Saccharomyces cerevisiae S288C: one gene and its partner. Each later gene encodes a partner of the first gene's protein in a complex. Each region holds a gene or a part of one and is shown on either strand. Other genes may lie near its edges. The genes, in order: FIS1 and MDV1. A codon is read from its position in the direction of its gene.

Evidence for each region.
Region 2: the proteins of FIS1 (region 1) and MDV1 are in contact, whole or in part, in a crystal structure (PDB 3UUX), measured with the Saccharomyces cerevisiae proteins. Residues at the interface, in NP_012199.3 of Saccharomyces cerevisiae: Val4 (codon at 1,163), Asp5 (codon at 1,160), Phe6 (codon at 1,157), Pro8 (codon at 1,151), Asp12 (codon at 1,139), Glu15 (codon at 1,130), Leu17 (codon at 1,124), Gln21 (codon at 1,112), Ile24 (codon at 1,103), Leu25 (codon at 1,100), Gln28 (codon at 1,091), Ala37 (codon at 1,064), Thr38 (codon at 1,061), Ile39 (codon at 1,058), Gln40 (codon at 1,055), Ser41 (codon at 1,052), Phe43 (codon at 1,046), Asn44 (codon at 1,043), Trp47 (codon at 1,034), Lys51 (codon at 1,022), Arg59 (codon at 998), Val62 (codon at 989), Lys63 (codon at 986), Thr66 (codon at 977), Tyr69 (codon at 968), Lys70 (codon at 965), Ala72 (codon at 959), Glu73 (codon at 956), Ser74 (codon at 953), Arg75 (codon at 950); in NP_012423.1 of Saccharomyces cerevisiae: Asn95 (codon at 2,584), Lys96 (codon at 2,581), Phe99 (codon at 2,572), Arg100 (codon at 2,569), Leu102 (codon at 2,563), Thr103 (codon at 2,560), Tyr104 (codon at 2,557), Ile105 (codon at 2,554), Ser106 (codon at 2,551), Asp108 (codon at 2,545), Leu109 (codon at 2,542), Asn111 (codon at 2,536), Glu112 (codon at 2,533), Ile113 (codon at 2,530), Pro114 (codon at 2,527), Glu145 (codon at 2,434), Thr146 (codon at 2,431), Ser147 (codon at 2,428), Leu148 (codon at 2,425), Phe149 (codon at 2,422), Gln150 (codon at 2,419), Gly151 (codon at 2,416), Phe152 (codon at 2,413), Lys153 (codon at 2,410), Tyr155 (codon at 2,404), Leu156 (codon at 2,401), Ala159 (codon at 2,392), Gln243 (codon at 2,140), Ser246 (codon at 2,131), Ser249 (codon at 2,122).

The regions. Positions count from the first base shown.
Region 1 is NC_001141.2:240,604-243,509, forward strand, and holds FIS1 (Fis1p), read right to left. Parts: upstream 1,173-2,906; coding exon 705-1,172; downstream 1-704. Other genes in the region: ribonucleotide-diphosphate reductase subunit RNR3, read right to left, coding at 1-105; EFM4 (Efm4p), read left to right, coding at 1,424-2,113; YRB2 (Yrb2p), read right to left, coding at 2,158-2,906. UniProt on the Saccharomyces cerevisiae protein: Has a role in mitochondrial fission. Has a role in outer membrane fission but not matrix separation. Required for targeting MDV1 to the mitochondria.
Region 2 is NC_001142.9:203,263-208,170, reverse strand, and holds MDV1 (Mdv1p), read right to left. Parts: upstream 2,867-4,908; coding exon 722-2,866; downstream 1-721. Other genes in the region: chaperonin-containing T-complex subunit CCT7, read right to left, coding at 1-294. UniProt on the Saccharomyces cerevisiae protein: Involved in mitochondrial fission. Has a partially redundant function to CAF4 in acting as an adapter protein, binding to FIS1 on the mitochondrial outer membrane and recruiting the dynamin-like GTPase DNM1 to form mitochondrial fission complexes.

The DNA of each region.
Region 1 (2,906 bases):
ATCAATACGGTTTGGGTCTAAACCGTATGACAAACGGGTGATACGGGAGGTAATTTTATCGAATTGAACGGGCTCTTTGCGGCCGTCTCTTTTAATAACGTACATTTGTGTGGGAGTATTTGATTTATTGCTGCTGCTATTCTTGCTTGTCATATTTATTTCAACTTGGATATGAGATGAGAGAAAGGCAAGGAAGAAGGCAAAAGAAGGCAAAATAGCAGTGCGTTTATATACGTTTTGCAGCAGAACACGAAACAATATAAAGAACGCTGACACGAAAAACGAAACGCGTCAGCATCTCACAATACAGTATTACGATTTAACAATAGACTATTGTTTTTTTCCCATCTTGTCGTTTGGTCCTCGCCATGGCAACCGGGTTTTTGCCCCTTTGAGCAGCGCCTAGGTGTCGTTGCTGCGACAACCACGAAAAAAAAAAAAAAAAAAAAACAAAAGAACAACGGCACGCAATGTTGCTGTGACAACCGTAGGCAGATAACTTGGCTTTTTTTACTACTTTAGGAAAATTAGCAGCCAAGAACGAGGGCTTGCTCTGCTACCTAGTTCAAACTGAAACAAGCCTTCACTTTCTTTTCTTTTCTTTTTTTTTTTATCTAACAACTGAAGATTAAATGATAAATGTTTACGCGTGCGTGCGATTCATTCTTATGTATGTACGTATGTGCTGATTTTTTATGTGCTTGTTACCTTCTCTTGTTTCTTAAGAAGAAACTAGCCACGGCCACAGCGCCGGCTAGTACGCCTCCAGCGACGACAACACCCTTGAGTGTTTCCTTCTGGATCTTATCCTCTACCATACTCTTCAAAGCGCCCACCTGCTTGTTATTACGCTCATGCTCAAATAAAGTGTCTACATATCTCTTCGCCATAGAGTATTCACCGAGTTTGTAGCAACCTATGGTCAGATAATATAGGCATTCTCGTCTACGGGACTCGGCCTCTTTGTAAATGTCTGTGAGGATTTTCACACCAAGCCTTTCGTCATTCACGTCAGTGGATTTGATCAGCCCCCATGCGTAGTTAAACCTTGACTGTATGGTAGCGGTGGGCCCCCCCTCGGAGACGACTTGCTGGCGCAGAATCTCCAGCTGCTGCGGATAGAGTGGTTCGTATGCGTCCTTAAGAGTTGGCCAAAAATCTACTTTGGTCATACTTATGTTGTATGGCTGTGCTCTGATCTGTGCTTCTATGTGCCGTTTTTACGCAAGGTATATGATAACTTCTGTGCAGAATAGTGGCAATGGCAGCTTTGCTTTGAAAGGGGTCCAGCCTAGCCCGCTTGCGGTGTTCCGGCATAAATGCGCAAAAAGATTGGTTCATGAAAAGAAGTGAAAAAAAATCGATGAGCTCAGCTCTTAAGAACGGTATTATGGAACGAACTCAACCCGAAAAGGTAGTACAGATGCAGGGCACGGCAGATTTGAGCACTTCGAAACTTGGTACGAAAAAATACTGGGATGAACTGTATGCCCTGGAGCTGGAGAATTTCAGGCGGAATCCGCAGGATACCGGGGACTGTTGGTTTAGCGATAGCGATGCTGAACAAAAGATGATTGATTTTCTGGTAGATAACATTGGTGCGTACAGAATTTCTGAGAATGCTTCTGTTGTAGACCTCGGTACAGGTAATGGACACATGTTATTTGAACTGCATCAAACGGAATTCCAAGGGAAACTGGTCGGGATAGACTATTCTGAGGAAAGCGTCAAACTCGCTAGTAATATAGCCGAGGCCACCGGTGTTGACAATTTCATCAGTTTCCAGCAAGCAGACATCTTTAGTGGTGACTGGAAGCCGGGAAAGTATGACATTGTGTTGGATAAAGGGACCCTAGATGCCATTTCATTGAGTGGCATGAAGATCAACGGTAAACTTGATGTAGTCGATGTATACGCCGGAGTAGTGGAAAGGATTTTGAAAAAAGACGGTATTTTCTTGATCACTTCTTGTAATTTCACACAAGATGAACTAGTAAAGATCATAGAGACTGATAATTTGAAAATGTGGAAAACAATAAAATACCCTGTTTTCCAATTTGGCGGGGTCCAGGGTGCGACCATATGTAGTGTAGCATTTGTTAAACAAAACTGATTTGTTTTTATCTTTGATTTATTTTTAACGTTATTTCTCTTTACTTATTTAGGAACGGATTTAACTATAATGTTATACAATTCATCCGTGGTTTCCTTCTTACCAGTCTTTATGGCGTACTGTGCAGGATCACCGTTATCATCTACTGCTAGTAATCTTATGAATTTTTCGCTTTGCAAAGAACCTGTAAATCCTTTTTGCACAGTGAACCCCTTGACCAGTTGGATGTTTAAAATGACTTTTAAGATACCACGAGACCTCATAACAATACGCGTCTTCTCGACGTCGTCCTTACTTTTATTGATTTTGATGATACCAACACCTCTTTCCTTCCAGCCTTCTTTTATGTTGGAAAGTTGGTACAGCTTCGCATTGACTTGATATATGCACTCCTCAGACTCTTCACCAGACTTGACTTCCTGTTTCTGCAATTTGAGGGGTTTTGGTTTGTCTTTTGTATCTTCTGAGGCATTCGCTAGTTGTTCAGATCCACTATGGACTTTATCTTTGTCAACATCAGTAGCTTTCTTTTCACTTTCAGAGTTATTTTCTGTTTTGTTTTTCAGTATGTTGAAGCCGCTGCCAAATGATAAACCTGAACCAAATGCAAATGGCTTCTTTGTTTTGCTGTCAGAGGCTGGTAAACTTTCAGTACTGGTAGTTGCATCTCCATCTTTCGTGTCCTTTTTGGCAACACCAAACCCAGTTCCAAATTTAGATGCGGCACCAAACACGAATTTATCCTCCTTTTTGTCATCTTCCACAATACCAGATTCTACGGTCTTTCCGTCGT
Region 2 (4,908 bases), on another chromosome or scaffold:
TGTACCATCACCCACCTCGGCATCCTGAGCTCTAGAAATATCCACTAAAGTTTTGGCAGCAGGATGTACTACATCTAATAATTTTAGGATCGTGGCACCATCGTTAGAAATAGTAGTCTTTTGATTCGATGTCACAATTAAAATATCAGAACCTAAGGGACCTAAAGTTGGTTTCAATGCCTCTTGGACTGCAACACAGGCATTGATATTAGAGATGATTTGACCTTTACCTTGAGATGCGTCTGTTCCCTCTTTTAGAACCACAATTGTAGGTGTTTGGCTTCCAAAGTTCATTTTTCCGAGTTGTATGTCTCGTGATTCAGGTACTACTTAATATTTGCGGCTAATTCTCTGTATTTGAAATCATTTCGACAATTTGGCATCTGCTAACGCTTAATAACAATTATTCATTTTTTTTTTTTTCAATAGCAAGGATGAAAAAGTCGCCACTTAAATATTAATCATTATTCACGAAAGTTTTCTTTTTCCGGGTAAGGATAATGCAGGTATGGTGATTGCTTCCAAGACATCTGTAGTAATATGACAGGGCAACATCTACAGCACCGATTTCGCTGATAAACCATCCAAGGTATTGACGATACTTTATTTACATTCCAGAACGAATATTTATTTATATATATCTGAGCGAGCAGCTATTCACATATGCACTCGATATTTATTTTTCTTCAAATGGGTTGACTTGATTGCAATGCAATGCCTATCATACGGCCCAAATATTTACGTCCCCATTTTCACGACCCTCAACCATGTAATTTTCTTTATACTTAACGGTACTAACGCTAGTCTCGTTACCTTGTTCGACGCAAGACCAGCTTTCATCCTTTTCGCTATCGTATATCTGGACACTTGGTTCGTCTGCGACAACGACTGCAGCGTTCTCTTGGAAGAGATCTAACGAAAGAACTGGCGCACTGTACGCATGAAACTTATTCAACAACCCAGTTCTTAAGTCCCAGATTCTAACTGTTCTGTCGTATGAACCTGTGACCAGGCACGCGGAATCAAATTTTAATGACGTTATGGCATCTGTATGCCCTTTCAAAGTACGAATCACCTTTCCGGATCTTAAATCCCATAGCCTTACAACACCATCTTTTGTACCCGTTGCTAGCGCTGCATCAAAACTTTGTAGTGCACCTATACTAGGCCTCTCATTTCTTTGAGTAAGAAGTGTGCTCTTTGATAAATCGACATTAGTGGATGTTGTTAAGACATTTGCAAAGCTCAGATCAATGGTTTGCAAGCACTTCCCGGAACGTAAGTCCCATTGCCTAATTGTTCTATCCTGTGAACCACTCACCAAGAAACTAGGATCTAATGATAATGCAGTAACCTCATCTGTATGCGCCTCAAATGTATGAACACATGGAGAATCAATATGATTTGTAGGAGAGGTAAGATTTTGCGTTTCCTGGTAAAGTTGTTGAGCTAAATTCAAATTCCATAATTTTAAAGCCGCATCTCTACCACCAGTAACAAGAGTTCCGTAGTCACGATTGATTTGCATACAATTAATTGTAGCAAGATGTCCTGCTAGTTCTCCAATTTTGTTTTGTTTGGATAAATCCCAAATTTTTACCGTGTGATCAAGATATCCGGCTGTACATAAGGTACCAAAGGGCGCATCAAAATCTAGGCAAGTGAGGAAATCATCGTGAGTGGACATTATAGAGCCAATTTTTGTTCCTGGCTCGTAAAGCTGCTGGAATGTTGGGAAGCTTTTTCTGTGTCTTTTTTTGGATTTGCTATAAAAGGCACCTAATCTATTCAATGAGTTATCGTCTCGAAGTTGTTGCCTTCTCCTTGGAGGTAGATTAGAAGCCTCTGATGATATGCTCTCTGTGGTGACACCCTCATTTCTTATAGCATCATTTTTAAGGGCCTTTCGCTCACTCATACCATCATCTTCTGCATTTTCGTCGCTATTAGCTTCGATCACCTCCAATCCGTACTCTTCTAAAAAGTCCAACCTATCATCAATCTGTTTGAGGTTGTCTTCCAATAGTAATTGATTTTGCTCTATGTTCGCAATTTTACCCAACAGTTTCTCTTTCTTTTGTCTCAGATTCTCAACTTCAACTTCAATGTCTCTTATTTCGGATAACGTAGAATTTTTCTGAATATTTAAAAACTCTAAACTATTTACAAGAGTTTGAGAAAAACTTTTTAATGCACTAGGAGAATAAGAGGAGCTTATTTTTTTAGTTTCTACCCCAGGCGGTATGAGAAATGAATCTTGGAAGTTAGGAAGCTCTGTGTGAATTTCATCTCGCTCATTTGTTTTAGACATAACATCTTTCGCACCAACCGTACCGCTTGTACCATTTGTATCATAGTTTAATCTTTCAGTGTTTTCAATGGCAAGCTCCGCTATTGGTAGGTAGCTTTTAAAGCCCTGAAACAGCGATGTTTCTTTTTTGGATGCGTTCTTCCTGAGATTTTCATTTTCGCCTCCTTCGGTTAGAAGCTTGCCATCTGCATCACTTTTGAGACCTTCCTTAGTTGGGATCTCGTTCAACAAATCATCACTTATGTACGTGAGCATTCTGAAGCATGTTTTGTTGTCTGTGAACTTGTTCCTGAATACATCGCCCCTTCTTGTCTTGGAGTAAATATCCTCAAAAGTGTTAGATGCATTTTTTACAAAGCGACCGTGTTCAGTCCTCTTGTAAAAGTATGAAGTTGAGCTCGCATTGTTGACGGTATTTGATAATAAATTCTTATAAGGCCCATTATTGGTCAGTACATCTTGAGTGTTGCTGTTCGATTTTTGGTAGTTTAAAAAAGCGGAAGCCGTTGTGGACAATGTTTTTCCTATATGAGTTATTTGGTCGTTCACTGACATTATTTGTCATTATTTGCTACTAATTGGAGCTCTACGAAGGGTTTATATGGTTGTACTTTCTGTAGAAAGTTAATTTCTTCTCTTGTTTACGCCGTCTTTCCTGAGAAAATCGATGTGAAAGTAGTTCCGCCTGTCAAAGTTGAGCGAATTCCTATCGGACGGAAAAGTCCGATGAGCGACCACATTAAACAGGGATACCAGGTCTGAGGAGGACTGTACAATGTAGGGGGAAAATACTCAAGTATGCACTCACTGTCAACTATTGGTTCCAAGTCGCTGGAAAGAAACTCATAGCTTCAAAATTTAATAAAAGATAATAGGATTACGTAGATGAGCCAAAAAAAATAAAAAAAAGGAAGTTCTGCAGCATGTTCAAGGACGGCTTGGTCGATTGTTTTTCTGTGTCGTAGAAATAGTCTGAATATATATCATCGGTATCTTATACCCTCATTCAAGGTGGAAATTGTACCAGAACAGTCATCAAGGGCCAAAAAAAATCTCCGCGACGGGGAATTGAACCCCGATCTGGCACGCGACAAGCGCCCATTCTGACCATTAAACTATCACGGATTTTTATGTTGTTTTGTGAGCGTGTTTAATGTATCCTTCACTATTTGAAAATATTTTCTCGACCTCAATACCAAATCAAATGACCTTTTACGGTCGTCAAAATGTGTTTCACCCTATAAAGTGAGCTTAAACACTTTAAACATCTCCTCTATCGGTTGTGCTGTACGGAAATAAAGATCAACTTATCAGGATAAATTTTAATAATTAGTATTTAAAACGTGTAATTCGGTTTCTGTATAACGCCAGTCACATTTCTCAAAAGATATATTACTATATGATGTAAACATTAGATTTATTAGAACTGGTAGCAATTAATATTTTAATCAATACTGATGTGAAATCTGAGATATGGGTGGATTTTGAAATAATTGTTGGAATCCTGTTGTTGATAGAGGGTATAATATTAGGTATACAGAATATACTAGAAGTTCTCCTCGAGGATATAGGAATCCTCAAAATGGAATCTATATTTCTACATACTAATATTACGATTATTCCTCATTCCGTTTTATATGTTTCATTATCCTATTACATTATCAATCCTTGCACTTCAGCTTCCTCTAACTTCGATGACAGCTTCTCATAACTTATGTCATCATCTTAACACCGTATATGATAATTGTTGGAATAAAAATCAACTATCATCTACTAACTAGTATTTACGTTACTAGTATATTATCATATACGGTGTTAGAAGATGACGCAAATGATGAGAAATAGTCATCTAAATTAGTGGAAGCTGAAACGCAAGGATTGATAATGTAATAGGATCAATGAATATTAACATATAAAATGATGATAATAATATTTATAGAATTGTGTAGAATTGCAGATTTCCTTTTATGGATTCCTAAATCCTGGAGGAGAACTTCTAGTATATCTACATACCTAATATTATTGCCTTATTAAAAATGGAATCCCAACAATTATCTCAAAATTCACCCAATCTTCAATAATATATTGATATGTTGATAATTAGAGGTTAAAAATTAGTATTAATGAAGAAGTGAGTACTGATCTTCTTATACTAAATAAGAGAGGTATATAAAACACACGCCGATTGGTCATATTAATTATGACCAATATAATAGTGATTCCGGTAGTTACTATACATTGATGTGACGACTCATATTCCTCATATATGTACCTACCATAACATGTTCAACTAATAGGTCTTTAACACAGCTTCAGTATTGTCTGAGCTTCTCGTTTAACATTCCTTCTGCAATAGGCGCAATCACACTTAAACGTATACGAGTTGTACATTAATATACGATGTAAGCATTAGATTGTTACCATAGCAACTCATGTCACTATTAATTACTCTCGTTCCAACATGCTCCCTTAAAGATATATTATTGTACTTCAACAGATATTCATTGTGTGTTTAGAACTTCATTAATTAATTATCAATAGTCTGTTGAGGCCAAAATATCCTGTGATGTTATTTTATTTTTTAATACTTGTATAAA